Linked DNA regions of Neurospora crassa OR74A. The protein of the gene in region 1 interacts with the protein of each later gene in a pairwise test. Links are inferred from orthologs where the notes say so. Each region holds a gene or a part of one and is shown in the gene's direction. Other genes may lie near its edges. The genes, in order: NCU04121, NCU09721 and NCU10618.

Evidence for each region.
Region 2: the proteins of NCU04121 (region 1) and NCU09721 interact in binary tests that used the Saccharomyces cerevisiae proteins (3 or more experiments, as listed by UniProt). The link is inferred for Neurospora crassa OR74A from reciprocal best matches to the Saccharomyces cerevisiae genes APL4 and APL2.
Region 3: the proteins of NCU04121 (region 1) and NCU10618 interact in binary tests that used the Saccharomyces cerevisiae proteins (3 or more experiments, as listed by UniProt). The link is inferred for Neurospora crassa OR74A from reciprocal best matches to the Saccharomyces cerevisiae genes APL4 and APS1.

Annotation. Positions count from the first base shown.
Region 1 is NC_026505.1:4,909,465-4,920,007, forward strand, and holds NCU04121 (AP-1 complex subunit gamma-1), read left to right. Parts: upstream 1-4,606; 5' UTR 4,607-4,908; coding exon 4,909-4,918; intron 4,919-5,003; coding exon 5,004-5,127; intron 5,128-5,196; coding exon 5,197-5,385; intron 5,386-5,446; coding exon 5,447-7,565; intron 7,566-7,633; coding exon 7,634-7,720; 3' UTR 7,721-8,109; downstream 8,110-10,543. Other genes in the region: NCU04119 (SNARE complex subunit), read right to left, coding at 1-303, 378-949, 1,018-1,040; cmd (calmodulin A), read left to right, coding at 1,977-1,979, 2,132-2,188, 2,302-2,317, 2,499-2,624, 2,685-2,897, 2,961-2,995; NCU04122 (malate dehydrogenase), read right to left, coding at 8,501-8,522, 8,622-9,222, 9,297-9,504. UniProt on the Saccharomyces cerevisiae protein: Adaptins are components of the adapter complexes which link clathrin to receptors in coated vesicles. Clathrin-associated protein complexes are believed to interact with the cytoplasmic tails of membrane proteins, leading to their selection and concentration.
Region 2 is NC_026507.1:1,358,681-1,369,303, forward strand, and holds NCU09721 (AP-1 complex subunit beta-1), read left to right. Parts: upstream 1-3,589; 5' UTR 3,590-3,957; coding exon 3,958-4,190; intron 4,191-4,252; coding exon 4,253-5,636; intron 5,637-5,693; coding exon 5,694-6,326; 3' UTR 6,327-6,575; downstream 6,576-10,623. Other genes in the region: NCU09722 (hypothetical protein), read left to right, coding at 999-1,199, 1,283-2,698; NCU09720 (hypothetical protein), read left to right, coding at 7,289-7,408, 7,474-7,866; NCU09719 (hypothetical protein), read left to right, coding at 8,962-9,843; NCU09718 (n(4)-(beta-n-acetylglucosaminyl)-l-asparaginase), read right to left, coding at 9,992-10,623. UniProt on the Saccharomyces cerevisiae protein: Adaptins are components of the adaptor complexes which link clathrin to receptors in coated vesicles. Clathrin-associated protein complexes are believed to interact with the cytoplasmic tails of membrane proteins, leading to their selection and concentration.
Region 3 is NC_026505.1:1,560,384-1,571,078, reverse strand, and holds NCU10618 (AP-1 complex subunit theta-1), read left to right. Parts: upstream 1-4,051; 5' UTR 4,052-4,492; coding exon 4,493-4,503; intron 4,504-4,568; coding exon 4,569-4,602; intron 4,603-4,684; coding exon 4,685-4,802; intron 4,803-4,869; coding exon 4,870-5,144; intron 5,145-5,316; coding exon 5,317-5,346; 3' UTR 5,347-6,448; downstream 6,449-10,695. Other genes in the region: prk-11 (serine/threonine-protein kinase BUD32), read left to right, coding at 709-1,608; NCU04596 (gamma-cysteine synthetase regulatory subunit), read right to left, coding at 1,961-2,936, 3,117-3,142; NCU04597 (mitogen-activated protein kinase MAF1), read left to right, coding at 7,501-7,506, 7,600-8,769. UniProt on the Saccharomyces cerevisiae protein: Component of the adapter complexes which link clathrin to receptors in coated vesicles. Clathrin-associated protein complexes are believed to interact with the cytoplasmic tails of membrane proteins, leading to their selection and concentration.

The DNA of each region.
Region 1 (10,543 bases):
TACCCTGGTCGATGACCATGGTCTGAAGATCCCGGAACAGATCGGACAGGTCGATGATGCCCTGAGCGATTTCGTCGATTTCGCGCTCACGCTGAGAGATCGCCTGGTCGTTGCTGTGAAGCAGCTTCTGGTGCGTTGACGCTTGTAGGGTCGACTGGGAGAAGACCCGGTCGGCGTCGGATTCGAGAATGGAGGCGCTGTTGGAGCTGTTGCCGGGCGGGAGGCCGCTGGGGCCCAGGAAAGAAGAGGTGGCTGAGACTCGGTCGAGGGTTGGACTGGCAAGGCCGCTCATGCCTCTTAGCTCTGAACAGGGAGTGTGATGTCAGCATGACTGTTTAAAGTCAGAGTCGAGTGGTAAGGAAAGTAGGGGGGCTCACTCTTTAGATATGCGCTCTGCTTTTTTCGAAAATTGGCGCTGGCCTCCTGGACTCTCGTGGCCAGGTTGATTTGTATGTTCTTGGCCATGACCTCGTCGGCGCGACTCATCTGGCCATTGTGTTTGCCCTCGCGCACCATCTGCTCGATGCGCTGGATGACGCGGTGGCAGTCGTGGAACCCCTTGGTGATGGACTGCGTAAGCTGCTCTATCTCACGTTCCTGGTCCCTCTTAGCCTCGTCGTCGTCAAACCCCGGCAGTACGTGCTTCTGATGCAACCGCTCCAGCTTCTGGCTCTTGCGGGCGATGTCGGCCAGCAGCTCCGCCACTTCGTCCGACGAATCCGCCCACCGAGGCGGAAGCAGGTCCATCTCGATCACCGCATCGCCGTCGTCGACATCGTAGGCCCCCGCGGATAAGAGGCCGCGCCGGTCATCGTCGGCAGAGAAGAGGACCCCCGTGCTGCTGCCAGCCCCGCCGGAAGTCCCGCCGAAGCGGTCGCCTGGGTTCTGAGGGGCATATCGGTTGCGCTGGGTCGGGTGGTGGGCGTAGGACTGCCGGTACGAGATATAGCTGTGATAGTCACATGGATGTTAACGAACGACTCTCATCTCCGGGGGGTTCAAGAGAGTTCCCCGTACAGATTAGTGCGGTCGCGCCACATGGCGGACGCCGGAAGGGCGAAAGGCTCCCTTCACCTCGGTTGCACGCCGAAGGCTAGTCGTCGTCTCGGTCAGAGGTGAGAGTCAATTGATGGTAGTTAGTGGTAATGGCGGTCCAGAGGCGGATTGGAATGGGTATGGCATCACATCGCATCGCATGGACACGGCTGTGTATGTGGTCGAGGTTGAGTTGCCAATGTCTCCGTCCCTGGTCGATCTTCCCGGGGGGAAATGTTTCTAGGCCTCTCTCTTTCACTACCTACCTACCTATGTAATAACAGCAACAGGGCCAGTAGCACTGGGCAGCTGCTACCACTGACAATGACGCTGACGCGGCGGTTCAGAAACACAATGCTGGCCAGTTCCAGGGATGGGGGGCATGAATAACATGGGATGCATGTCACCTGTCAGGCACTTGGGGCCCGCCAATAAGGGGTAGCCTTTGTCAGTGTCTCAAAGAGTCGGTCAGCTGGCAGCCTGGGGGACGGGAGCTTTCAGCCTGTTAACAGTCTGGCCCGTCTGTCCTGGGCTGGGGCTGACGACCTACACCTCCAGTGGTGATGTATCCCATGCAGAGGTTCCAGGTAGGTTGCAGCACCTGCGAGACGCCGGGATGGGCTCCAGGGCATCTTTAGTTTTAGTCTCATTTTAGCGAGTGTGTTACAGTTAGGTAGGGAGGGACCCCGCCCCGCCTCCCTCCACTCCATGCTTCGCAATCGGCGGCCCAGCTGCTCATTTAAGGAACGTCGAACTAGGAGAACGGGGACTTGGACCTACCTGGTAGGTAGCCAACGGGTCTCGTTCGTTTCTACTGGGGGACCTCCATATCTACCACTTCCAAACCAGAACACCTTCGAAATCCTCCTTCGAACACATCCAACTATCTCACACGCTCGCTCTCCCCAGACCCTCTATCCACCCCTTAATACTATATCAAGATGGTATGCTCATTCCTTATCTCGGTGCCTCCCGGTCGAATCTGTTTGAGCGCAACAAGAACCCCGCGGGTTAGCTCGAGGGGCTGCGGCCGGGCTGCGAACATACGATGATGGCTGGAAAGGAGACGGGTGACTGACAAGGCTATCAACAACAGGCGGACTCCCTTACTGAAGAGCAGGTCTCTGAGTTCAAGGAGGCCTTCTCCCTTTTTGTAAGTTGTTTTTCTTGCGCCGAGCTTCCTTGTCGCCTATGCTCAATCCCCTGTGTCGCCGTTTGGCGCAAATCGTGCGAGCCTGATGACTGACCCGACACAACGTGACACAGGACAAGGACGGTGATGGTTAGTCTTCCGAAACCCTACCCCCCCAGATATCCGAATTCATCCACCACCAAGTTAGCGGCAAGCGCCTTGGATCATAGTAGTTGCGACGCACCCAACGCTTCTCACCGCCCGCCCCTGAACCGAGTTGCGATGTGAATACGAGCCCTACCGTAATGCACGCATACTGAACAGCAGCTAGGCCAAATCACCACCAAGGAGCTCGGTACCGTCATGCGCTCGTTGGGCCAGAACCCCTCCGAGTCTGAGCTTCAGGACATGATCAACGAGGTCGATGCCGACAACAACGGCACCATTGACTTCCCTGGTATGATATAAACATTTCGGACTATGGACCTGCCAGCTCGCCGCTGACAATAGCCTATAGAGTTCCTTACCATGATGGCCAGAAAGATGAAGGATACCGACTCCGAGGAGGAGATCCGTGAGGCCTTCAAGGTGTTCGATCGCGACAACAACGGCTTCATCTCCGCTGCCGAGCTCCGTCACGTCATGACCTCCATCGGCGAGAAGCTCACTGATGACGAGGTTGATGAGATGATCCGTGAGGCCGACCAGGACGGCGATGGGCGTATCGACTGTACGTCTTCAATTCATGCGACTCAGCCTGGGTATAGCTTACTAACACCTTGTTTCCAAACAGACAACGAGTTCGTCCAGCTCATGATGCAGAAGTAAACGGCTTTCTCCTATATTCCAACTCTACACGAAGACAGGTTTTAGCGTTCTCTTTGAATACCACTATTAGTTGATATGCCTCCATTCGGATGTGAAGGGATCGCTTTGTTTCCCACGCTTGGTATGTTATGCAAGGATCACCTGTGTTCTCGTGGTTGCGCGTTATGCTGGACTGTTACCTCTCCTCCTGCCTCAAACCACCGAGTTCGGGAAGCAATGGGGTGAAGTTGACATGGATTGACGCTAGCACCTCAAGTTTCTCTCCGTTTGACTTTGTGTCCGTGGCGGTTCGTCTCCAAAGCAGTTATCAATCAAATCTTACTCCGCCTTTGCTAGTGAGGAGCCATTACCCACGGTGTTGTCTCCCAAGTGGAAGCTGTACCACATGAGCAAAGGAGCACTTCCGTCCGGAGGTTCAGATGAAACCCTACTGTTTGCTACATAAACTTTTCAAATGCACAGCTGCTGAGTTCACGTCATCAGGGACCACCAGCAAGACCGGAGACCTGTCAACGAGTGGGGATGACCTGCAGGATGATTGTGGCAGTGTTGCCTAGCGACATCAACCATCAAGCCCAGGCCGAATATGTGGATATCATCAGCCCTATAGGGATTTCCATATCGTACACATCCGTACGGCACAGCATCTAGAAAATCAACTCATCTCCCGATCACCGTTGATGTATGGAGGATCAGGTCATTGTCGGTCAGTGATGGCTGTAGGTTGCGCTGAGGCTGTTTGCTGCTTGTGATGCCCTCGTCAATTTCATCAGTATTGTGACCATAGATGAACCGCATGTTCCCCAAAACTGAAGCTCGATGATACAGTATTCGCACAGTCAATTGTCATATGGCCGAGCTTGTCAGTTGACAAACGCTCATTGCTGTCTTGTTGAAAAGCAAATAGTTAAGCATTGCTGTCGCCCTCATGCTCGATGTGTTCAGGACTGGTCCAGTACAGAATCAGCACTGACGGTGATGATGAGTAGCCTATTAACTTTTCTTCAGGACTTGAACAAGCTTTACATGTGTTTAGCCTTCCTTCTTCAACAAATCGCCGGCGTCTCATGCAAATCTTGACGGAACTCATGCTCTTATTCATCTTTCATCCTCACAGATCTAAGCGGTGACAAGATAAGGCCGCCCTACGTAGGTATCAAGAAGAGCAATGTCTGATGCTGTGGCTGGTCTCGGACAGGACATTCATCATTTTGACCCTAACCCTGATTACCCCTTTTCCGGCGAGGCCGTCAGGGTGCCTGACAAGACGGTCTAGGCCCCACCTTCCCGCCGTACCGAGTCGTTGCATCGCAGCTGAGGAACAGCACCGTGACCTGTCCAGGGTCCCTGAGGTCCATGCTTTTCAGAGAGTTTGGCGCCTGCCGTCGCGTCGTTGCCGGGAAGCTTTGCAGCAGAGAGGTGCCTGCCTGAGGCCACGAGTCCCAGTACTGTAGTACCTACCTCTAGTGTACCTACCTAGGTATCTACTGCTGCCGTGGTGCTGACCGTCACCGTCTGCCTGGGGCTGGGAGCGGGCTGGGAGAGGTCAAGTCAAGGTGGGGGGTGGACACACACGGTCAAGAGGAGCTCCAATAAGCGCATTCCATGGCCACATCGCACGCCCGCCCATTGTGTGCTGGGCTTCCACTTGTCGTGTTTCGGCCGGGTTCCCAAAAAGATGATCCTCTCTCATGAATGTCTACGTACCGCTGCTTTACCGTATCGTAACTTTGTCCATTGCGTGCCTCTACTTTCTTCGGATACCCCTTGCTTGAAATTCCAAAGAACCGCCATCCGCTCTCCGTTCCGCAGCTCCCCCGCCATCTCGAGAGCTCAAGCATCCGCTACCACTTCCTCTCTGGTCCAGATCCCCTAGACAGGCCCCCTTGCGGGCCCCTAATGATTGCATCGCCATGAGTTCCCGTAAGTGAGCCACCGGCATCGCCATGGTCCCAAGCCTCGAGCGACCAGGACGAGGCCAAAACTGACGCTTGTAATCGGCAAACAGTCAAGCAGTTTATTCGCAATGTCCGAGCCGCAAAGACCATCGCCGACGAGAGAGCCGTAATCCAGAAAGAGAGCGCCGCCATAAGGGCCAGCTTCAGGGAGGAGAGCCACGATCACAGCGTCAGGTGCATCTGAGCTGCCAATACCCAAGCTTCCCCGGGATCTCGGTTTGCTGATCAACTGTGTCATTGCAGGCGCAACAATGTGGCCAAGCTATTATACCTCTTCACCCTCGGTGAGCGCACTCACTTCGGTCAGATCGAGTGTTTGAAGCTCCTGGCCTCTCCGCGCTTCGCCGACAAGCGTCTGGGCCATCTCGCGACAAGTTTGCTGCTCGACGAAAACCAGGAAGTGCTTACTCTGGTTACCAACTCATTGCAAAAGTATGGTGCCCAGGAAGACGATTATGGGTGCGCAACGTGATGCTGACGCTCGGCTCGACAGTGATCTTAACCATTCGAATCAGTATGTGGTGGGCCTCGCCCTCTGCACCCTCGGAAACATCGCATCGGTCGAGATGTCTAGAGACCTGTTTCCCCAAATCGAAACACTTATATCGACGACAAACCCATACATCCGGCGCAAGGCAGCTCTGTGTGCGATGCGCATATGCAAAAAGGTCCCGGATCTCCAAGAACACTTTGTCGAGAAGGCGGCGCAATTACTATCGGATCGCAACCATGGCGTGTTGCTTTGCGGCTTGACATTGGTGACCAGCCTTTGTGAAGCTGACGAGGCCGAGGGTGGGGAAGAGGGCATCATTGAGAAGTTCAGGCAGTTCGTGCCGGTACTCGTGAGGACTCTCAAAGGACTGGCTTCTTCCGGTTATGCGCCGGAGCACGACGTTACGGGCATCACCGACCCGTTCTTGCAGGTCAAGATTTTGCGCCTTCTCCGAGTCCTGGCCCGCGGCGATGCTCAGACTACGGAGCAGATCAACGATATCCTCGCTCAGGTTGCGACCAACACCGACGCTACTAAGAACGTTGGCAACTCGATCCTTTACGAGGCCGTACTGACGATTCTCGATATCGAGGCCGATGCCGGCTTGCGCGTGCTGGGAGTCAACATCCTCGGCAAGTTCTTGGCTAACAAGGACAACAATATCCGTTATGTTGCGCTAAACACGCTGGTCAAGGTGGTGGCCATCGACACCAACGCTGTACAAAGACACCGGAACACCATTTTGGAGTGCCTTAGGGACCCCGACATCAGTATCAGGAGGAGAGCTCTTGATCTGAGTTTCACCCTAATCAACGAGAGCAACGTCCGCGTCCTTATCCGAGAATTGTTGGCTTTCCTGGAAGTGGCGGATAATGAGTTTAAGCCTAATATGACTAGCCAGATCGGTATCGCCGCTGATAGGTACGCCCCGAACAAGAGGTGGCATGTCGATACGATGCTCCGTGTCTTGACGTTGGCCGGTAACTACGTCAAGGAGCCCATCCTGTCCTCGTTCATTCGCCTTATCGCTACGACTCCCGAGCTACAAACGTACGCCGTGCAAAAGCTTTACACCAACTTGAAGAAGGATATCACCCAAGAAAGTCTGACGCAGGCCGGCGCGTGGTGCATCGGTGAATATGGCGACGCTCTTCTCAGGGGTGGTCAGTATGAGGAGGAGGAGCTCGTACAGGAGGTCAAGGAGCATGAACTTATCGACTTGTTCACAACCATCTTGAACAGCAACTACGCTACCCAAGTCACCACCGAGTACATCATCACGGCACTCATCAAGCTCACCACTAGGCTGCAAGACGCAACCCAAATCGAGAGAGTTCGCCGTCTGCTTCAGTACCACCAGACAAGTCTGGATGTCGAAGTTCAACAGCGTGCGGTGGAATACGGCAACCTGTTTTCTTTTGATCAGATCCGTCGTGGTGTGCTTGAGAAGATGCCTCCTCCTCAAATCAAGGAGTCCTCCCGAGTACTTGGTGAAGCTGCCAAGAAGACCACCAAGGCGGCGGGCAAGAAGACTAACAAGGCTGCCAAGCCCAAGGAAGAGGATCTCTTATTCGACCTCATGGGAGACACCAATCTCCCGTCTCCTTCTGTTCCCAACGGCGGGACGAACAATGCCGACCTCCTTGCCGATATTCTCGGCGGCACCACTTCGCCTCCGACCTCGGCCTCGCCGGCTCCCGCACAGTCAAACGTTGCCTCGATCATGGATCTCTTTTCGCAGGGACCTACCTCCACTCCGTCTCCCGCACCTGCACCAGCGGCTGCTCCATCAGCAGTCCTTGATCTCTTCAACACCACTCCGGCCGCCGCTTCGGCTCCGGCTCCTCAAGCGGCGCCCAAGCCCGCTGCTGCGGCCGGCCATGCTTGCTACGACAACAACGGACTGAACGTCACCATCCAAATACAGCGAAATGCCGAAGGCATGATCCAGGCTACGGCTCGCTTCCGCAACTCGTTCCCTGGCGGTCCGCTTTCGGCTGTCGGGTTGCAGGCGGCGGTGCCCAAATCTCAGAAGCTACAGCTGCTCAATATTTCGTCGACGGATATTGCGCCGGGGGCGGAGGCGACGCAAATGATGAGAGTCGCGGGTTGCACTGGGGTAGGTTCAATTCAGTTTATGTCCTTTTTCCATATTTAGATAAAGTTGCTAACAAGTTTTGTGCACAGGCTTTGCGTCTACGTCTCAAGATAGGATATACACACCCTACGGCGGGACAGGTATTGGATCTGGTCAACTGGACGGAGCCCTCTTGAATGGACGATGGGGAAGGATGAGTTATGGAGGGGGCAGCAAGGGTGAGAGGGGAGAGAGAAGAAAGAGTGATCGTAATGTTAACGTATTAGCTATTGAATGGTCAAGTCACATACCCTTTGATTACAGGGTAGACCACAGAGTACCGACAAGAAACAGGACAAGGTATAGAGAGGAAACCAAAACGAAGCAGCCGATTTATTGCCAAGGCGTACATCGTTACTAAGTCTACTATTCTTTTGCAGACTGTTTGCCGAGGGCTCAAGCATGCGTATTTCAAGTTACTATCTATCCCCTTCTCTTCACCCAAAAGGCTGTGAATCTCCATAGTAAGCACTCGGTCATTGCGCTTATCACTTTAGCACCAACCCTCTGTTGACATTTGGTTTTATTTGTTCATCTCCCACTACTCAAGTCCAGCAATCTCTCACCCTTTCCTCTTCCGACCATGGTTGATGATCAGGCAGTCAGCCCGGTATTACTAACAAGAGTTTTATATCCATAGCTCGTGCTATCCATCTGTCATTTATCCAACACAATGTGCCTGTTTGGCGCCGCCATTAACGCCCTCTTTGTGGTGTAGGTAGGTATAAATATGCAAGTGATTGCACATGAAAAATTGTTGAGAAACAAAGACAAAGGAGAGAAAAGAAACAAAAAGAAGAAGAAGAAGAAGATGCCTCCTCCATAAAATACATGGTATCTTTTTTTTTGGTGCTTGTTTTTGGTTTGATTTTCCACATCCGATATTCAGTCACTGAGTGACATCCCAGAAGAGTTTTTTAGTTGCCATAAAACCAGTACCTATTTTTCCAACAATGTTAGCCACCATCCCGTCCCGTCTTTGTTTACAAAGTTTTCATGAGGTAGTTTTGAAGGGATAGATAAAAAAAAAAGACTTACTGAGCAGCATACTGCACCTCGAAATGCTCCGGCATCCCCTGACACGTCTCGGGCGCGCTTCCTCCCGCCGTCTCTACCCTATACACCTCCTGCAGTCCGCCCGTCGCTCCCGGGCGTGTAACCAACTTCAACCAAGCAACCGCCTTTTCCCCTTGCTGGCCCCTCGGCGCCGCTTCTGGGGCAGGCGTACTGCTGTTCTTGGCACACGGCGCCTCACCAATCTTCCACTGCGAGGCATCCATGTTGAAAAAGGGCGTGGATGCGTTGGTGAAGTAGTGAGCGCCTGAGACGGCCATGCCGGAGGTGGGCGCGAGGGTCTGTTTGAGAAAAGAAGGAGGGAAAGGGAGGGCGGAAGCGACGGAGGAAGCGATGGAGGCGAGGTCGGAGAGGTTGAAGTTCAGGGAGACAGTGGACAACATGGCGCCGATGTCGGGGTAGGCGGAGACGATGCAGGAGGCGTTGAAAAGAGAGGCGACGGCGCCATTGGCGACGGGAGCCGCGGTGGGGGTGGAAGGGTCGCAGGTGTAGTTTTGGGTGCCACGGCCGAGGGCGACGTGGCGGAGGGTTAGGCCGAAGGAAGGAGGTGGAAGGGGAGAGGGAGCTGGAGAGAGGGTGAGATTTTTGTTAGTATGAGCTCAGGTAGGTGAATGAGAGGGGATGGGCTGAGAGGCTTACCTTGGGGCATGACCACCTTGGAGAGATCACATGTTGGTACGGCGCTCTCGAACTTGCTTTGTTGGATCTTGACCGCGAGGAGGTTGAAGTACTCTGATATTTTCTTGAGGGAGTCGGCGGGAGCTGAGTGGGCGTTGATCTCAGGGAGTAGTGGGGCGGCCATAATGGAGGAGACGCTGAGCGCCGAGAGGAATAGTGAGGCACGCATTGTGATGTTGTGTTTGTTGTTGTGTAGTGTGATTGAGAAAGATGATCAAGTAAGTTGTTGCTTTTTGTCGTTGTCCAATAATGAAAGCCGCCTTCCTAAAGAAAACTAATAACCACCAGTGGTTCTTTTTGTTGCCGAGACTGGGTATCGTGATGATGATGATGATGATGAATAGGAAATCGTCGAAACCCGTTAAGAGACGAACAGAACCCAGGAAACCCGTGATATAAGAAAACCCAAAAAGAAAACAACTGAAAGACGACCCTCAAAGAAATAATCCAACCAGTGAATATGCTAGTGAGATCAAATAGGAGGTCGGTAGAAGAAGGAGGAGGACGAGGAGGAGGCTCCAGATGGCAGATATATGAGAATCGGTCTGGAAGAAGAGTATGTCGATCTTGACCCTCCATCATCTGCCCAGGAGCGGCGGCTTTGGAGGGCTAAATAGATTAAGCAGTCCCATTCACACGTTTGACTGGACCAGAGAGACGCAACGCTCTTACGGGACGGCGGCACAGGGACACACGCTCACCCATGTTTACACGCACTCACTCACACACTTCGCTTGGGGAGTACGTACTCAAAAAGTATGGTAGAGACCATGGAGGGTATGGTAGCGCTACGCGGTACTACACTAGGTACTATCCCTGACGTTCAAGACATCCTGGATGACCGTGGATGCCCCTGGTGAGGACACTTGAGAGGGAACACTGCATGTTTAGTGGTTCGGTGGGCAGCCGCCGGTGCTCCCGTCGAAAAAGAAGAGCGTGGGTGGTGGTCTGGAGGACGAAAGACAAGAGACCGACCGTCAAGAGAAGACCGCAAGGCCCAAGTCCGTCCCCTGTCCCCGTGTCCCCCAGAATTGGAAGGTTAGAGGTTGATTGGATGAACCCACACGAGTCCCTGGCTGTCAGATCCCCGTCTGATCCACTGCAAGCGCCGGAACCGTGCGCTAGTAGGGGCTCGCTGTGTTAGCGTACCACTTTATTTTGTGGTCCCTTGTCTGTCCTCCCGTCGTCATCATCCATCCTCTCCTCAC
Region 2 (10,623 bases), on another chromosome or scaffold:
CAATGGCAGAGGTACCCTTGTTGAAGGGAGGGCATTCTTTGGGTGTGCCGATTCCAAACTTACTGTTGTTTCTTGAGAAATGACGAGATTGTCATGCATTCTGCAATGGACGGTGACACTCTGTGGTGGTGTGTTTTCGCTCAGCCATCCTCAACCATCTTTCAAGGCGGCGGTACCCTCATGGGGCTTCAGCTATCGATGTATGTATATGTAGCTCACTCAGCTCTGGGGAGCCTTCCACAGTCCTCCAAAACCGCTCGTCGGAACGATCCTCTGATCCCAAATACCTCGGTGGCTGCGTTCGACGCCGCTACCCTCGATGGTAACCCCAAAGGTGGAAGATTAAGAGAGACCTGGACAATTTGAACGAGCATAAGAACGTAGGAGCGCAATAAGCTGCAGCCAGCAAATACCAAGAGGTCCATACTAGAGACACGCTAGCATGCATATGGATCATCGACAAAGTTCGATTCGTGAGTGGGACAAAGGCGGCATAATAGAAGTAAGTAAATACAGGAAATGGAAGGACTAATCAAGTGTAAGGTTCAATAGTATCCAACGGGTAGCGTAACTGGGGCATGCTTCAGCCCAAAAAGGGGAACGGTGATGACTTCAACTTCCGAGTTGCAGTGCATGTCGCCGAGCACAGTATAGCAGCACTTACACACGGACCTTAGGCCTACCGGTTTAGGAGACCTCTCTCAAAACGCTTGGGCCAACCGCTTTTATCCAACATCAAAGACCCTTGTCTGATGCCATTGTCTGGGTCCACATCTAACCCACCGGCCCCATCTGTTCGCGTCTGTTCGATCGCAGACACGTTCACCAGGACGCGATTACCAACGTCATTCATCGCATTCTACCTGTCAAACTACTGAAGAGCTTTCCGAATCTCTGTATTCCGTCTTAAAGTATCCTCAACACCGAAATCCGAAATTCATTCTGATTGCGGCACCGAAAATACAACCTGAACTTGACCTGCATCTTGTCACATCACCATGCCTCCCCGCAAAATGGTCGCCGATGCGACAATCAAGACCGAGATCGCAGATGCCGTGCGCCGCATCTACCACGGTCCGCAAGAGCTAACCGTCAACGCTGTGCGCGAAGCTGTCGAAAAGAAGCTCAAACTTGGCGAAGGGTTTCTCAAAGATGGCGACTGGAAAGCAAAGAGCAAGCAGCTTGTCATGGACACTCTCGTAAGTAGTCATCTTGATGGCTCAATTGAACAGCACCGAGGAGAGACCATAATCAATTACTGACAGACGTGTACCTATCGTAGGCCAAGATAGAATCCAACGGGGCAGAACCAGACCAGGCTGCTCCAGCGAAACCAAACGCCAAGAAGCCGAAAAACAACGCCAAAGCCAAGGCACCTGCGAAGAAGCGCGCAAAGAAGGAGGCGACACCTTCCGAAGAGTCCGAGTCCGAGTTGAGCGATCCCGAGGATAGCGAAGAGGAGGAATTTGACGACGACGACGAATCCGAAGGGGAGCCGGCCAAGAAGCGCAAAGCCACAAAGGCAACGGGCAAGAAGAGGAAGGGGTCATCAGATGACAATGATGACGAAGAGGAAGCCGAGGAGAGCGAGTCCGAAAGACCTAAGAAGAGAGCGAAACCCGCCGCCAAGGCTACCAAGGACAAACCAACCAAGAAGACTGCCGCTGCGAAGAACAAGGTCGAAGCATCCGACGCAGAGTCCCTGCTTAGCGAAATCGACGAGGCTGGACTGGAGGATAAGGACGAGTCAAGTGAGCTATCGGATGCCATGGATGTCGAAACCCCCAAGGAGAAGGACACAAAAGACGAGGTGACAAAGGCAGAGAAGGAGACGAAACCGGCCTCAGACGACGAGAGCGAGCTTTCTGAAGTCATCGACGAACCTCCCAAACGGAAAGCTAAACCCAAAAAGGGCGCCGCTAAAGACTCTTCCGAAACCAAGCCCACCAACGCCCCGCCCGCGGACAAGGACGATGGCGAAAGTTCCATGTCTGAAGTCTTTGACGAGCCCCCGAAGCGTGGCGGCAAGGGGCGCGGAAAATCCAAGGAGGCCGCCAGCAGCAGCACCAGCAAAGGCCGCAAAGCCAAGTCCGTATCCGCCGACCTCTCTCCTGACGAAGCCCTGATCAAGCAGCTCCAGAGCCAATTACTCAAGTGCGGCATTCGCAAGATCTGGCCAATCGAGCTCAAGAAGTACGGTGATGACACCAAGGCGAAGATCAGGCATCTCAAGAACATGCTCACCGACATAGGCATGACCGGGCGGTTCTCCGAGTCCAAGGCCAAGGAAATCAAGATGCGCAGGGAACTGGAGGCGGAGCTAGATGCCGTGAAGGACGGAGAGAAGAGCTGGGGACTGGGTGATGGCGGGAGGCCCAGGAGGAGGGCGGCGGCTAAGGTGAAGAGTCTGAAGCTTGAAAGTGACTCTGAAGATCAAGAGGAAGAGGACGAAAGTGGGGATGGAGCGGACAAGAAGGAAAAGAAGGAAAAGAAGAAGAAGAAGAAGAAGGCCGAAAAGGAGGGTAGCGGTGATGAAGATGGAGACGATGATGATGATGAAGTTGAAGAGGACGACGAAGATGACGATGACGAGGACGAGGACGACTCAGAAGATGCGGAGCCAAAGGCAAGGGTGAGAGGCCCAGCCAAGCACAGGGCGGATTTCGCTTTCTTGGGCTCTGAGAGCGAGTCTGATTAAGTCACGGTGATTGATATGGAGCAAGCAAGACCCAGTGTCTTGGATCACCACTACTTCTTCATGGTTATGTTATGGGCGTGTACGATTCAACGAGATGTTTTATACCCTTTTGGTTTTGTATGACTATTTATCAAGGTACGCAATGGGCGGAGAATATGGCACATTGGAGGCAGGTTCTCAGTTTCGGAATTACTTTGTGGCGTTCATTCTTTGAGCTATCAAGCTGAAGACTGCGACGGAGCTTAGGAACAGGACGGCGTTGTAGAACTAGTAGTATCATGTTAGGTGGTCTTGGGGTTAAACAGCAGCACCGGAATATGACGTACTGCTTTTCTGGACACGTCTCTTTCTTCACTGTCCGTCCTGGCCTCGATGAAGAGGCGACGCAAGTTGGGAAAGTTGGCCTGTTGTGATTCAAGGTTCTCAGTCTTAGCAACATGTTTAGGGGATCTCAACAATGAGGGTTAGTCTTGTGGACAATTACCATTGTTTCGCCTCTGCCAGTTGACACTTGAGACGTTGATGCTGGTGATAGGTCGTACTTTTGAAGATATGGGAAGGTGATTTAAGTCCTAGTAAAAAAGGGAGGATGTGTCTAAGCTGCAATATCGCCGAATAATCAGTCGCTTCTCCAGTGTACTGGGAGTGGATGGTCCTCCGTCGTCACGGCCAAGCACAACCATCATCATCGTCCTCGTCGCCAAGTGCCAAGCCACAGCTGCCAGATGGGATCGAATGCCCCAAAGACGGCACTGTGGCTGAAGCTCTCCTTTACGGCGGGGCACCTCGCTAGCAATGAAGGACCCTGTGAGTGGGGCAACTCACAACAAGGTTCACGCCAAGACGCTCTGGCCTGTCGCTGCAGTGACTTGGAGGACACCACAGTTGAACCACAGCTGAACCACAGTGGCCGCTATTCAGCGCGTACCTATCACTGGACATCTGCCCGTCCACATCATCGTCGTGATCCATCCCGTCCTGACACCAGCGACGACGCGGCGACCTGATCCAAAGCTGGAGCACGCCCTCGACAACAGCACGCTGCCTCACAGCCGGCCAGGTTGCACTTTTGTTTCACGACTACCGGTACCTACGCGATCAACATACCAAAGCATCCGTGTATGCGCCATTCCACGACCACCCGTTGAGGCGCCATCTCCTTTGTCAAAGCTCGAGGTTTCACCGCCCGATCTCGACCTTGTCAGCACCTCCACCACTGCTTGTCCTCCCTGAGCGCGCAGAACAGCAACGCCTTCGCAATGTCAGCTATCAACCGCATTAGGGGTGCGTTTGCGCCGCCGCGCAAGGGCGAAACCTTCGAGCTGCGAGCCGGCCTTGTGTCCCAATATGCCTACGAGCGGAAGGAAGCCATCCAGAAGACCATCATGGCCATGACCCTGGGCAAGGATGTTTCGGCGCTCTTCCCGGACGTCCTCAAAAACATTGCGACCTCCGACCTTGACCAGAAGAAGCTGGTGTATCTCTACTTGATGTGAGCATCAGCTGCCCTCGTCTCTGGCCCCTTCATGAACGAACGCTAACCCCTGAGTCCAGGAACTACGCCAAATCACATCCCGATCTCTGCATTCTAGCCGTCAACACATTCGTACAAGACTCGGAAGACCCGAACCCCCTCATTCGAGCGCTGGCGATTCGAACAATGGGCTGCATCCGTGTCGACAAAATGATCGATTACATGGAGGAGCCGCTACGAAAGACGCTACGAGACGAGTCCCCCTACGTACGCAAGACCGCCGCCATCTGTGTCGCCAAACTGTTCGATCTCAACCCCACAATGTGCATCGAGAACGGCTTCCTGGAGACACTGCAAGAGATGATTGGTGATCCCAATCCCATGGTTGTGGCCAACTCCGTCCAGGCCCTGTCCGAAATCCACGAAACTGCCCCCGAGACCAGGGCGCTTGTCCTCACACCCGCGACCCTAAAGAAGCTGCTTATGGCGTTGAACGAGTGCACGGAATGGGGGAGGGTCACCATTTTGACAACACTAGCCGAGTACACTGCCCATGACGTCAAGGAATCGGAACACATTTGCGAAAGAGTAGCGCCCCAGTTCCAACACGTCAACCCCAGCGTGGTTTTGGCTGCCGTCAAGGTCGTCTTTACCCACATGAAGGCTCTCAACCCCAAGACAGTGAGCGCTTACCTGAAGAAGATGGCTCCTCCTCTGGTAACGCTCATCGCTTCTGCTCCTGAGGTTCAGTATGTCGCGCTGCGCAACATTGACCTTCTGCTGCAAGCCAATCCCGATATTCTTAGCAAGGAGCTGAGGGTATTCTTCTGCAAATACAACGACCCCCCGTACGTCAAGCTCCAGAAGCTTGAAATCATGGTCAGGATAGCAAACGACAAGAACTTTGATCAACTACTTTCCGAGCTCAAGGAGTATGCCCTTGAAGTCGACATGGATTTCGTCCGGAGAGCTGTCAAGGCCATCGGTCAGGTCGCCATCAAGATTGAGGCCGCTAGCGAAAAGTGCGTCAACGCGTTGCTTGATCTAATCTCCACCAAGGTCAACTATGTTGTGCAAGAGGTTATTGTCGTCATCAAGGACATCCTCCGCAAGTATCCCGGATATGAAGGTGTCATTCCGACTCTCTGCAAGTACATCGACGAGTTAGATGAGCCCAACGCCAGGGGTGCCTTGATCTGGATTGTTGGAGAGTATGCTGAGAAAATCAACAACGCCGATGAAATTCTGGAAGGGTTCGTCGAGGGTTTCTTGGAAGAGTTCACGCAGACCCAATTGCAGATTCTTACCGCTGTGGTCAAGCTGTTCCTGAAGAAACCCAGCAACACCCAAGGCCTAGTACAGAAGGTCCTCCAGCAAGCCACGGCAGACAACGACAACCCCGATATCAGAGACCGTGCTTATATCTACTGGCGTCTCCTCTCTGGCGATCTCGATGTTGCCAAGGTTTGTCACAATTCCTACCCCCTGAATATGTAAACATTGACTAACTTGCGTTCATAGAGCATTATTCTCTCTCAAAAGCCCGCCATCACGACAACAGTAACATCCCTCCCTCCCGTCCTCCTCGAGCAACTTCTTTCCGAGCTTTCCACTCTCGCCTCCGTCTACCACAAGCCTCCCGAGTCGTTCGTCGGCAAGGGCCGTTTCGGCGCCGACGAGATCCAGCGCGCCGCCATCCAAGAACAGCGCCAAAACGCCGCCGAGAACCCCATTGCCGCGTCAGTCGCTGCTGCTGCCAAAGGTGGCCAGCAGAACAACGTTGAGAATCTTCTCGACATCGATTTTGACGGCGGCGCTCCTGCCAGCGCAGAGCACGGTGGCGGTGTCGGCACACCAGATCGGTTTGGCAGCCCGGCCAACGTCGGTGGTCTTCCCGGTGCGCCACCGCAACCCAGTGGCGGCATGGCGGATATCATGGGGCTTTTCGATGCACCACCGCCCATGCCGTCGGCGTCTGCTGCAACTTCGCCGGCTGCTGCAGGCGGGATGGGTGACATGATGAGCTCGTTTGCAGGCATGGATCTTAGCGGGACGAGTGCGCCGCCGCCGCCTGGTCAGCAGCTGGGGCATCCGGCTAGTCAGACTCCTCCCAAGAGTGGTGGAGGTAGCGAGGATCTGCTTGGGTTGTTCTGATGGAAGAAGTCATGATTGGATGAGTATGGTGTCACTATAATAGCATGGTAGTTGGGGTTGGTGATGAGGGAACTGGGCTAAAAGCGATGGGACATGCTAGCGCCTTGTTTAAGCAGTTTTTGTTGTCCTTGTCTTGTGCAATGAGCTGCTAAATTAATAGATACGATACACTAGGCTCTTCGTCGTCTCGTGAATTTGGGGCCTGTCCCCCGTGTTTCGGTTTCTCTCTCGTGCAACATTCGTGTCATGACCTCGATTACCTATGGCTTTGCTCTCTATTCATCGTCGTCAGATCCCTTTAGTGGTGGATTACAATTGTCATTTCAACAGGACTAAAAGCTACAATAATCACCAAAAGCTTGACCGTCCCAAAGCCGATCGTTTACTATTAGGACCTATCTAGTCACCCATAGTGACCAGTGTCTCTATCGAACTTTGCTGACAACAAAGTGTGTTTGAGTTTTTCGGATCTCACATAATCGACGACAACAGAGCGAGGGACATGCTCCCATTTAGCCCTTTATATATTTGGGTTGTGGTTGCGACCGAGTTCTTCGAGGTCAACTGTAACACACTGCACAAAGTCAACATCGAGTGTCCGAAATGCTTCTATGTCTAACTACTGCTACATCTCCGTGCCTGTTCGGAGACAAGAAATGACACAATTGTTTGTCCTGCGCCGGACTAATTCCGCATCGAAGTTGCTTTCGCTGAGCTTTTGGCTTATCGCCTTGGGTGTATACCTTAGAGGTGGCCTTCGGAGTCTCTTGGCATTATCGCCGTCAATTCACTCATCCTAGCCCACCCTCTCGCTTTCGCTCATCGGGGCTTCCCTATCACTTCGGCGGTATTTCGCCAGCACTCTCGAGTCTCTGAGGAGTACATGGGATTTGGGGCTCAGGTAGACGGCCGTCCCAATCTCCGAAACTCAACAGGCCTCTTGCGTTTTCACCGCTAGCAGAATGACTACATGCCGCTATCCTCAACCGGCAAAGTTCATTGTCCTAGCCGAAGGCGGCGCCGATGGAGTTATTCATGACTCTTACGAACGAGACCTTTTGACGTCTGGACGATCCCGTCCGGTAATGCCGTTTCCAGCAGCCCGATCAGACTTACCAGGACCAACAAACCTAGATATTCGCAAAAGACAGAGACACGAATGCGCAGCGAACTCAAGTTACTCTGGGAAGAGCAGGACCCCGTCGCGGAAACGGGAGTGTCAGATAGCAAAGCGATGCGGGACGGCATCAGGGCGCAGGTTAAGCCAATTCGCGCCGGGCTTGAGACTACGGGAAGATTGGGCGTTACCCTTAGCAATAAGTCTCGCGGCAAGGAGGTTACCTCTATCCAAGCCGGTGCGAAAGCCGGCGAGGCTTTACAAGGTCCGAGTCTCCGCTTTCTAGCCCGTGCCCACGAAATCCACGCCAGTTCCCGACCCCGATCCGTAGGGGGTGTCAAGGTAAGGGAGACCAAATGTATATATGGGAGGACCAGGCGAGTGCAGCCTTTGCGAACGATGGAGAGTGTCAAGAAAGTCTAGGTGATAACGCACGTGGAGACGACGGACCCTTCTGTCGCGGAGGAGAAGGACACTTGTGTTAAAGGTTGTCACAGAGGAAAGATGCATGAGGGACTGTCACTGAGAATTGCCGCCTTGCTGGTGATGATTTAGGAACTTCTTCGCCAGTTGCATCATTGTAACGGCCGCCAAAGTATTTAACATTCACGCAGAGATCGGTGTTTTTGATTCAACCCCAGCAAACCGTAAAGCAGAGAAACTAGGATATGTTAGTATTCAGAAAAGGACTTAACAAGCGTCCAGAAGCTAGTAACATACGACTACGACGAAGTGTCTTATCGTATGATCATGTACAAAGAGAGAGAATGTATAGCGACGAGGGGCGACAGACAAAGCCTTTCTTATGGACATGATTCAGACCGTCTTATCATCAATAAGGTCCGCTGGCTCAATGGCAGAGCGTCTGACTACGAATCAGGAGGTTCCAGGTTCGACCCCTGGGTGGATCGAATTTTTTGAGTGCTTCTTATATTTTGCACCTCCTATTGTAATAGATGTGCAGTTCCAATTCCGAGCAGCAGGATTTGCTCCATCTGTTTTTTTTCCACGATTGGTGGGATTCTCGTTGCCCTTTCACTCTGGACTAGGAAGTACCCTGTTGATAACGAGTCCGGGGAAGATTGGAAGGACCAATCAGTGGATTTAGAAGAAACAGCGCTAGACCACATAGGGCGCTTGTTAATCTCGAGCTCAATGTGCAGATTGTCAGGGTCGCTTTCCCGTCAGGAACGGGCCAGGAACAAGCAAGACAAGCCAGGAACAGGTGCCCCCAAGCATCCAATGCCCCTGTTGAATGCTCCAATGGTCCCTTCCCCCATGCCGGCCGTCAGTGGCCTTTCCTTTCTACTCTCCTTCCCTTCTTCCCTCCGTTTTCCGCAGCAATCGGGATTCATATGTCCATCGCCAGCATCATCTGAGCCGGTGTTGCAGAACCCGCCGCGACGGCGGTTCGCCCCTCTTGTATACTTAGTTGTATTCCATCACTTATACGGCTCTGTCCGACCCGAGGTCATTCATTTTCCCCGTTGATTGATTCGTTTAGGTAGCAACCCAATCATGACCGAATCCCGTTCATTCGCATTGCGCAAGACACCACCGCTGACGCGGTCCAACCTTTGGATATCTCGCTTGTCCTTCCTCGCCCTCCATGTTCTCTACTGCGCCACCGCAACCCATGCTGCCACAACCACAGTCTGGGCCACCCCTCACGACAGCTACTCCTCCTCGATCGGCGTTCTCGGCTGCAAAGTCGATACCGACCGCATCGCTTATTGGCCCGGTTCGGTCGACTGCAACAACCTCTGCGTCTCTCTCTCCTACGGCGACCGTACCGTGAAGCTCCTGCGCGTTGACCAATCCCAGGGCGCTCACGACATCAGCTACGATGCCTGGAACTATCTTGTCACGGGCCACGGGGCCAACGATCGGCCGGCCGTCGGTGGGCCCATCGAGATGCAGGCGGAGGAGTTGGACGCTTCCGAGTGCAAGGACTTGATCCACACAGAGGGACACAAGCTTCCGCTGTCGGCGGCCAACAGCATGAACTTCTTGGCGAGCTGCCTCGACCACAAGGACGGCAGCTGGGTGGGCGCAAACCACATTCTTTACAACATTCTCGACTCGATTTGCACGTGGGGATATGACGAGCCGTGCGAGCTGAACTGGCCAAGTGAGAACCAAGCTCAGTGCAAGCATGCTTTGGGCACGCCGAACCCGCTGAAGGATGATCCCGTCTACGATATCAAGTATCCTTCGGGCAATAAGGTTATCGCTGGGTCGGGAGAGGTGGTGAAGAATGGAGGGACTCCGTGGGGCGATGTGGGAGGGACTGGCCAGGAGAATGCCGCTGCGGGAGGTCAGATTGTGAGCAGCTCGGCGACACTTTTGATTGTTTGGATCATGACCCTTATGAGCTGCGGGGCTTTATGTTGGGTCTGACGATGCTTCGTTTCGTACGAGTTGGATAGTTGGCGGGCTTTGTTTGCTTCGATTCTTGAGATACCCCCTTTAGCACGTTTCGGAATGGATTTGTTGTTTTCTTTCCTTGGTTGAGTTGGCTCTGGGATTTCACTACACATCTGTTCGGTCACAAATCAGCGGAAACCGAGATAACACCTTCCACCGGCGGCACCGTGACAACCACCGCTTCGCTCATTTGCCCTCCTCGGTAGGCATACGTAAACGTCCAACCAGACGCCGCAGCCCCGTGATTGCCCTCCTTATCCACCACTACAATCCCACTTTGCACAGTGGGATATTTCCTCACCATCCTTCTTACCGCATCTTCAGCCGCCTCTGTCGGGGTCATGCCCCTTCTCAAGCTTTCGACAGCTTGATAGCAAGGCAGAAAGCGCATCATTATATCCCCATCTCCCGTAGCACCGCAACCACCCACCTCCCCATCAACATACGCACCGCTACCCACAATTGGTCCATCGCCAACCCTCCCCGGGATCTTGTGCGATGCACCATTTGTCGAAGACCCAGCGGCCATCCTCCCATCCTTCCCAATCGCAATCATAGATATAGTATCATGCCCACCTCTCTTCTCCCCCAATTGCTTATTAGACTCTCCAAGACCCCCATCAGCCCCCAAGTCCTTTTCCGGAACCGGCACAAAAGGCCCACACGCTCCTCCCTCCCCTTCACCCTTCCCTTCACCCACAACCACATTCCTCCTATACGACCCCTTTTTACACCCTTCCCTCTTCCAGTTCT
Region 3 (10,695 bases), about 3.3 Mb from region 1:
TCATTCGGACTGGCCGTGAACGCTATGATTGTCTAGCCGCTTGGCCGTTGAGGAACATTTGGTCTCATTTGATGCTCTGAAACAGATTCGGCAAATACAATGGGAGATAATATCGCAGTCCGAAGCCGCAGATCCTCCAGATAGTGGACAGGTGAAGACAACCTCACAGATGGACAAAGACTTGGATCGGTTTGTCCTTGCGCAGAAAATCTGGCGCCTGTTTCGGAGTGAGTATCTCCCCTAAGTGACTTTTTGTTGTTGTCAACATATGAAGAACAGTGAAGTTTCAGGAGACGGTAACGATGTGACATTTGTGCAAGTCGAGTAGTTGATCAACGTTGATCTCGAAATATTGGTCAGAGTCGAGATCACTCACCAATCGGCCGCTCATGTGTTGTTGATTCAGCGGCACAGTGTTAACAATATTGCCCTGTGCTTACCTACCCTGTGTGGAGCTCTTAAGTTGTGAAAGCTTGGCACTTTTCCTTTCCCAGCAACAATGTCCGGTGCCCCTCTGCCCCTCCAGCGCAATGTTTGGCAGACAAGGAAGCCCACTGCCGCCAAAACAAAAGTTCGCGATAATCAAACACAGCCCAGGGCACAACGACACAACCTAACCGAAGCGCAACAAACCTCACCAGATACTACCACTCAATCGCACACCCAGCCCTTTACGACGTTGTCAACAACAACAAGTCTGCCAGATTGATGGACCCCTCTCCTCAATCACCCCCCACCAAAAAGCGCAAAATGGCGACCTCAACCTCAACTTCTACCGCCGCCCCCGCGGTTGTCGAAGAACACCAATTCCCCCTCCCGCCGATCCTCACCCACCCCTCCGCCGCCCCTCCCACCCTCATCACACAAGGCGCCGAAGGCCGTCTCTACAAAACAACCTTCTTCTCTCCCGACATCCCCTGCGCACTCAAGTACCGACCCCCCAAGCCCTACCGGCACCCGGTTCTCGACGCCCGCCTGACCAAAGCCCGCCTCGCCTTCGAGGCCAAAGTCCTCGAGCGGTGCCGGCGCGAGGGCGTTCCCGTGCCTGCCGTGTACGCCCAGAACGCGGCGGCGGGCTGGATCGCGGTGGAATGGATTGAGGGTGCGCCGGTGCGAGTGAAGATCAACGAGTGGTTGGGGCAGAGGCCGAAGAATGAGGAGGAGGAAAGGTCAGCCGCGGAGCAAGATCAAGGACCGTTGATCGAGTTGATGAAGAGGATCGGGGCCGCGATAGCGGGGCTGCATAGGACGGGTGTGGTGCATGGAGATTTGACGACTAGTAATATGATGTTGAGGCCACACACGAACAAGACGACGAGTAGCGAGCAGACGAATGGAGTGAGCAAAGAAGAGGAAAAGGCCAAGTTGCTGGAGGGAGACGTGGTGATCATTGACTTTGGCTTGGCGAACCAGAGCCAGTCGGACGAAGACCGGGCGACGGATTTGTATGTCCTCGAGAGGGCGTTCGCGAGCACACACCCCCGGGCGGAGAACCTGTTTGAGCACTTGCTGGAGTCATACAAGCAGAGCTTCAAGAAGGGAGCGTCTGTGTTACATAAGTTGGAGGATGTGAGGATGCGTGGGAGGAAGAGGAGCATGATTGGGTAATGGTCAACACCTTTTTTTGGCGACAACAAGGCGAGAAAAGATACCCATGGATTTATACACATACAAGAACAGTTTTGCTATAATGATGAGTTGGAACAGCGGAGCTCGCGCGCTGGAAAGGAAAGTGAAGTTGCAATACATTCATGCAAATCGAAACGCCATTTTCATAAGCAACGAAGACAACGAACGCAATTGGTATTAATATCAATAGAATCAGAATGCCTGCTTGCCTGCCTGGCCACCCGTCCCATCCAAAAACTCCCTTGGACCCAGCTACACAATATGCAGCAGCTATATAGGTCGGTTTTGTATGCGGTTCTATTACCCCCCCAAGTATTTTAGAGCGAGTGCCTCAGTTCAACTCGGCACCGGCAAAGTATCCCTTATTCTCAATCACGCCCCTATTCTTCACCACAGCCGTGTACTTAATCACCCATTGTGGCGTGAGGTTTCCCGTCAAGCCGCCGCTGCCCGTCGCTGGGTCAGCCAGAAGCCCAGCACCCTGCGGGCCCAGGAGTTCCCTCAGCGTTCCCTCGGGCAAGATGTCCGTGCAATCGCTATGCACCAACAACTCCACATTTTGTTCCTTAGCCAGCGTCGCCAGCGGCGGCGGCACGTTGCAGCAGTTCTTGAGGTTGATTTGGTCCACCGCCGGCGGGATTGCCACGCGCTTAATGAACCGCGCCAGCTTCTCGGTGCCAAACTCGGATATGCCTAGCCTTTTCACCAGTCCCTGGCGGTGCAGCTCCTCGACGGCCGCCTGCCAAGTCGCAATCTCGGACTCGTCGTCACCCTGCGAAGCGTTCAGCTTGTCGGCCTCCCACTCGCAGTCGCCGTCGAAGGACATGCCCGGGAAGGAAACGACGAGCAGGTCGACGTCTGGGATCCCTCCGAGCTCTTTGAGCACTAGCTCCATTGCTTCGGTTGTGTATTGCGCCCGCCTGGAAACGTCGGGCGTTGTAGTGGGCAGGAAGAAAATCTTGACGGTAATGTCGTACTGCGAACGCTCTTCAGAGAGTGCGGCGGTTTCCCAGTCGATGCGGGGCACGAAGATTGTATTGTTTTTCTGGTCTTGCGCCGTCCAGTAGAGCGGGCCTGCTACGGGGTCGGTAGTGTTGCTATCGCCATTTGTGGCTTCGTGGACGCCATTGCTGGTGCCATTGGTCGTAGTCGTCGTCGTCTTCGTCGTTCCATTCGCGTTCAGGTTCTCAATCTCGTCGGCGTAGTCTAGTTGCGCATCTTGGAAGCTGACTTTCAGAGAGTTTACGAGTTCGAGGTTGGATGCGCCGGGCTTGCGAACAATGGAGGGCCCGCCGGAAATGATGTTTCTGAAGGAGAAAAAAAAGTTCGAGCACGCAATTAGTGATTGGGTCTAAGAGATGGCTATCTTGCCTATTTTCGAGCGAGGTCGCACAGCTAGGGACAAGAGACAAACCATATGGCCTGCCCTGCCCTACACCATCATACTTGAGACCGGAGCCACACAATGAAGAGAAGGACGGACATACCCGGTAGAAAGTATTAACTTGGTCATGACTGCTAAGGATGTTGACGACCTTTTTTTTTCTTTTCTTTTGGAAATGGGTAGAAAAAAGTTAAAACGCTGGCCAGGCGCAAGACGAATCTCTCTACCTCTTGAACTTTGGACTAGATAGTGGGGTACGACTTATTTGGTTCAATGGAGCCTAGAACCGATTATTAATGATTTACTGGCATGGGTCCGGGGGTGGTTCGATTCGGGAGTATGAAGGTACCTTTTGTAAGCTTGTGATGATATGTATCACCACAAACGCCGATGGTAGGGTGGTGTTGCCAGAGATAGGCAGCTGTAACGACACAGGGGAACATCAGTTTGGAAAAGTATGAATATCCGTCGTCGACCAAGAACATAACCCAGGATAGAGGTTAGACGGAGTTTTCGCAATGTGGGATGTCCGCAGACCATAAATCGGAGAGGTCATCATCCGACTCTCGGATTTTGACCTTGCGCTAGGTGAAGCATGGCTCTACACGCAACTCCCAGGGAAGGCGCCATGAGCAAGAACAAGTGCGGACTCTCAAGCAAGTTTGTCAGAGTCGGAGATGCACGTCGCGGACATTGCCGAGAATGTCAACGGCAGCTATGCCAGCTTCGGCATCTGATGACTGTCGGTTGCGTTCTCAACCACACTTTGGTGTAGATATGCGCGGGATGCCGTAGAAGGAGAAGAAAGCAACAGCCAACCAGAAGGTCTGACAGGAACGGGATGTCTTGTTAGGTGAGGAACTGCCCGGTGAACGTGGGGAGCCTTGTACTTCTCCCACGATTAGTAGGTCATGTTCGCTTGTTGCAGCCACCAACACTGAGGAAGAGAACTAGTTGAGTCATGCCGGCAGAAGATGATAGAAAAATGAACCAGACGCCCGCTACGACTGAGGGGGTTTAATGAGAAAAGGGCTTCCCTTTTGATCCGTCCTTGAGATTTTGTGTGCGTTAAGTGGTTTGCCCAGCAACATGGGATCAGCAGAAGATAAAAAGTCAATCAACTCAATTGTCGTTAGGTACATAGACAGTTAGACGATCAACGAACTCCCATGTTAAGCCTCGATCAACTCAGGAGCACATCATCCACTATAAGACCACTAAAGAAGCCTCTGAAAACGAGAAGTGCCAGATGCACTAATAGTCTCTAGGATCGGGTAGAGCCCCACTTGCCTTGGGTCTGGTTCTTCAGGCACATTGGACGGCCGTCGTCCCGCCCCTTTGGACAGCTCCAGGCGGGAGGAGTCCAGGCTGTCGGCGTGGTGTCCTTGTCAAATTTCCCGCCCGTGACAACACCTCCATGATCACATTGTCGACTCCCGCTCAACGTGATCCCGGGTAGTTGATGGAATCATCGTCATCATGGCTATTCAGTATGCGCCCGACAGTCGCCATCTTGCTATTCACAATGAAGTCAAGCTGACCCGGAGCTCTGCAGCTATCTAATCCTCCTCTCGCGCCAGGGCAAAGTGGTGCGTCTTGCCCGCCGCGGGCGTTGCTCTCGTCCCCAACCACGCTGTCCTTCTCCCGACTAACCGCACGTCAAATATCCAGCGCCTGGCCAAATGGTTCACCACTCTGTCTCCCAAGGACAAGGCCAAGATCGTCAAGGACGTTTCCCAGCTTGTCCTGGCTAGGAGGACTCGCATGTGCAACTTTCTCGAATACAAAGGCAAGCTCCGCCAATTCTCCTGGATCGCAACATAGGGCTAACTAACTGTCTTTTTGCTCGTCTGCAGATACCAAGATTGTCTACCGCCGATATGCCTCGCTTTTCTTCATCGCCGGATGCTCCTCCGAGGACAACGAGCTGATCACCCTCGAGATCATCCATCGCTATGTCGAGCAGATGGACAAGTACTACGGCAACGTCTGCGAGCTCGACATCATTTTCTCCTTTACCAAAGCCTACTACATCCTCGACGAGCTCCTGCTGGCGGGAGAGTTGCAGGAAAGCAGCAAGAAGAATGTCCTACGATGCATATCGCAACAAGACGCCTTAGAGGACATGGAGGTGCGTACAAGCATTTGACTTGGAGCCGTGACCGCTTGCCCGGACAGAATTTGCCTTCTTCCCGCGTCGCTACGCCTACACGCTCCCCCCCCCCCCCCCCCCCCCCCCCCCTTGTTGCAATCCCTATCCGTAAACCACCGCGCTCACTGACACGTTTATTGCACTTCCTCAGGTCGAGGATGAAGTCACAAAGATCATGTAAAGGCTGATCAAGCTTTGTGGTGTCTTTTTCTCTCCATCATCACGACCGACCGAACCGGGTCCCCTCAAACACTTGCGATTGCCAATGGTCGACATTTATTTACCCCAACAGCATACGCTAATGCATACCTTTACCTCCTGATGCAGGATTTGGAAGAAATAAACAACGCACTCAAGCAGGCCGGGATTCTCTGAAGCTGTGGTAGCGACCACAGTCCCTCCGATAGGTGACGGCACCGGATGGACAGACGAGAGGGGCGACCCGAAGCACGAGAGTACAGCATATGCAACCAGGGAGGACAATAATAATCGCGCCGAGAGAAGGGGAAGCAGAGTGTGGTGTGGTGGCAGGAAGTCGGGGCTACAGTCACCCATTAGGAGGGAGCAAACTCCCTTTCCTTAATCATATAGATATGGGCATTGTAGATTAATGAGCTGCCAAAACTGAGCCACTCGGAGACCGGATACACCACTAGTGTCCTAATCATGGACGATGATGGGAGGAAACCAAGTGGAATGCGTATCCGGTACACTGGGCATGGCCTCGGCGATGTGCTTAATGATAACAACGATTCAACGACGCGTTGCCAACACCGATCCATCTGTTCATGACCTCACACATCGGGTGTATGCGCAGAAACAGATCGATTCGCTCGGGAGACGTTGGGGTGGCGTTACCTTGATGCCCACCAAGGAAAGGTTTGTCCACATCGACGTTGGAAGCAACGCTCGTGGAGGGTTGAGACGACTCTATTCGTCAGGTGGTTGTGGTTGACAATTAACATTGATGAGCAGCATTCAGGCCGGGACACACATTGACACACAGGAAGTGGAACGCACTGCGATTACTGACTGGAGGCTTCCAGGCGGAACGGCGGAGGGGAGTGAGTGGGAATGGAGACTTGGTGGTGACAAGGGAACGCCGATCACTTAGGGGGTGCGACTCCACCCGACTCGAGGAGCCAGCGGCGCATGACCGGGGTTTAGGCGGGTCGACCCCAGCAATCCCCAGCGAGCCAAGGCCAACGTGGGCTGGCGCAAGCAGGCCACTCACCCGAAAGGCCACCCACCTGTTACTGTCAGCGTCAGCGAACCGGCTCTGGCCCTGATGGCACGGCTTGGAAGGAACGTCAGATAGGTAACGAGCCATCGATGGAAAGCGAGACCGCAGCCGGGGCACCAAGGGAACATATCAATGACCAACAAGAGGACTGACTGGAGCCAAGCTGAACACAGAAGAAGCATGATGGCTGTACACTCACTATACCGACCCGATAACCGGCGGTCCCCTTGGATTCAATTCGGATGGATTGGAAAGAACATCATACACTACATGTATGGGATTTATCCAAGTTGTCCCTCCTCCCACTTTTCCCACTTTTTGTTTCCCAAACTGATCTGAACCTCACTTCAACTAAACAGCAGGACATCACTCGATATATGACGATATCGTCACCCCTATTTCTCCTCACGCTAAACTTACATCAACATCAACAACATCAAAAACCCCACTTCTAACTATCTACTGTGTACAACCACCTACACCTTTTCACTATCTGTACTCGACATCGCGCTAGACATTATAACATCCCGTGTCCCTGTCTTTGTTCATACCTAAGACTTGATCTGGGAGTTGATAGGCAGGATTTCCATAACCGCTTTCCCCCCGAACTCACGGACTCGTCGGAGGACCTAGATTGGTCACATCATCCCCCGTTTACCACACCCTGTTCCCACTTCCTCCGCACCGCCTTTTCCGACGAACAACAACAACAACACCCATAACATACAACGTTTCGCATCAATCTGTTGCGCCATCACGGATCGACCCGGGATCAAGAATTACTGGTTGACTCTCTACAAACACTAATAATATCCTTGCGGTAACTCACCTCACATTCAAACAAGTCCCATCTGGCGATCGCTCGACCCCTCCCGCTTCCAACCAACAACCACAACGTTTGCGGAGCTGGGCCTGCCACTTGTTCATCGCCTTTGTTGCAACTCTCACCGTCTCCGATTTATTCGTCGCACCACTTTGCGAATACCTATCATCTTTATCACTACCCCAACGGCCAAACGCCTCCCGGCTTTTACCACTGCCTAATTGTCACATCACCTTCACGAGTCGCATGCCATCGCAACCATCGGCAAAATGAAGGCAAGTATACGTCGCACCGGTCGAACCGGGCACCGCTACCCTCCAAATACCAGGAGTGGTTGATCGTCGAAAGCAATATTGACCCTTTCACAGTTTCTATCTCTTCCTGCGATAGATGTTGTGACGAGCGCCCTGAACTTCGACACACCAGACTGTCACATCACCGGCAGCTGCGATCTATACACCACCAAGGCTGCGGGTTCCGACAAGCGCCTCTACAAGAACATCCAACAGTCCCTCCAAACTCAGCATGACAACCTCATCAAGTTTGGCAAGTCCCTGTCACCACCACAGCGCGATTCAATCGCCGACACCGTCAACTTTGAGCGGTCTTCACCATTCGGCTCGCTCAACGAAAAGGCCAACCGAAACACATACGCATACCTAATAGCCACTCTTAATGCGTCGCATCCCGACTACGACTTCTCCAATGTCCTGCGACCCGACGACTTTAAGCGCGAGAAAGAGTTGCGCCGCGTCATGGCCCACATAGATAGCACTCTGCAAAGCGTGCGGCCCAATTCATCTTTCCTAGACGTCACAATCCCTGGCATGGGCACCTCGCCCGCCGCCGCCTCGAGTTTCGGCTCCTCAGGCCTCGCCATGTCACCCGTCTGGGGCCCTGGCATGTGGGCATCCATCGATAAAGAGATGGATCTCAAGGACTGCTCCATCTTCTCGTACCAACCGGCCGACGCCCCATTTGACGAGGAAGAAGGCGCCATTTGGGCCCTCCACTACTTCTTCTTCAACAAGACTCTCAAGCGCGTCTGCTACCTTTACGTGCGCGGGATGCCGGTCATGTCCCATAGTCCGAGAATACCGGGTCACCACGCCATCATCTCGGCCAAAGGCGGGCTTGTGCGGCCGCGCAGGGCCCTTTACGGGATCGACGAGGAGCTCGACGACGCCGGAGCCAACAAGCGCGCAAGGTACTGGCTCGGAGACCAGTTTGCCGAGCGCGTCATGGCGGATGACGACGACATGGAGGCCGATGATGGTCTAATATGGAATCGCGATGCTGACGGTGACGTCAACTGCAACTATCACGATGACGATTATGATGACTATGATATTGAGAGCCTGGGGGATTATGACGAGGACGAAGACCTCGAAGACGCGGAAGAAGATGACCATGACAACAAGAACACTAATGGTGGTCGGAGTCAAGCTTCGGCCGCCAAGGGTGGATGGCGCTCTGAGAATGTTCCGTACCGGGGAGTCAGTGAGGATATTGCGTCGAGGATGGAGATTGATGTTTAGACGATGTCAATCCCATTCCGCTAGTCCTTGAAGACCTAGGACGCTAATGACAGTCGTCGAGGTGGCCGTCATGTTATACACGCTAATCTGCTACGTTTTTGCTCTTTTTTGTTTTTGACGACAGCCTCATTGCGCGCGAGCCTACGGGAGCGTGAGAGGCTCCTGATTTTCGAGATACCATGGTGTTGGTTCGCGCTCGCATTTTCTTCTCTTGTTGGTGTCTTTTTCCCTTTTCTCTTTTCTTACCTTTGTTTTGCGTGTACATGGTTCGTTTTCTTCATTGATCTGCCTTTCGTTGATTTTCTTTCCTTCCACTTTTCTAGCAGCACCCGTGCTGTATCACTGCTTCCACGCACAACATCACATGACAATGGGTATAATCTGGCTGGCTAGCTTATACATCAACACGGGAAACGGTAGAATGTTTCTCCCTCAATGGGGTTTGGGTTAAGACATGGGTGGGAGGCATGGATTGACTCAAAACATCCGCCTATGAAAGTTGGCCAGCAATGCATTGGAGAGAGTTCACGACGGCGTATTCGTGTGCTCTTTGGGGATAACTGTGGGAATTTCGCAATAACACGTCTTTTGCTTTTTTGTGGGGTTTGTTTTCCTTGTTCGAGTATCTATGGCTCCAAGGAAATAGTCGTGGGGATTGGATCATTTGTCCTGGGTTTTCAGAAGGTCGGTGAGAGAGACTACAATTCTGGATAACGCTCCGGGTGGATAGCGGTATGGTTACGTTTACGGCTACGTTGCTCTTTTGCTGCTATACTTACTGACTTTGCGCGGAGTACTTTCCAACTACTCTATTCTACTCTTACTACTGAGAGTAATGCGGGTTTCCACGAACAATGTCTTTTGTGACGAACGGAAATGGTTCAACACAAACAATCAAACAGTCTGTGTAATGGCTACTGATATGGGGTTTTTGCGCCTTTCAGATTGCTACAGACGGGAAGCATCTACGAGAATAGATGAGGACAAGCCTGACAAAGGGCAACGATGATAACGACGCTTAGTGTGGCATGGCATGGCATGGCAGGGCAATACGACGGAATGACTACTCTACTGAATTACGTAGTTTTAATAGCTTTTGATTTGCAAATTGAGTTGCTGTAACAGAAAGTATTCTCAGCACCTCGCAACGGAAACACAAAGCATGAATAAGTAGCTCCTCGGGTAAACGTTTCGAACATGCTTGTGGTGAAACATTAAGACGGAGAACGAAAGGGGGCGTGAAGTACCCCATTGTATACCCCACTATCACACAGCATTGAGGTGCCACTGAAGAAGCAGCCCTTGTCCCCAGTCAGAGAGAAGAGCGATGACGACAGTGCCTCCTCCATCGGACTCGTCCCGGTATTCCGGCTATCCTTTCCGCCCTTTTCCCTCCACAACAGCCAGACTCGACTCCATTGCCCAGCTCCGCAGGCTCCGTCGCTAACGAGGTCGGGATCTGGGATCTCATTATCCACCACCAAAAGTGTCCGAGCCAGGTCATCTCGATCGCTATCGATTGTGAGACAAGTGGAAGAAACCGTCTGATCTTGTTCACAAAAAAAAATCAAAGTCAAGACAAAGCAACACTCGATGGTGTCTTTTTTGTCATGATCTCGGTTGGCACGTGGGTTGGGCAGTGACGACTGAAACATTCACACTTTTCTCTGCCAGAAGAGCGTGGGGTATTTACAAGCGAGGGCTTGCATTGTTGCGACATCATTACATACAAGTACGCTCTCTCCTTACGAGTCTGACTCTTGACCCCTCCCGTCTCGAGTCTCGACAGCTGAGCTTTGTCAAACTCACCGCTTCCCGGTCAAAACCCACCACCACATCTGCCCCAAGGGTCCTCCTTCGCTCCGCTCCGCTCCGTTACGGTACGGGACCCATACTTCCCATCGAGTCAACCGAGTCATCGGTACC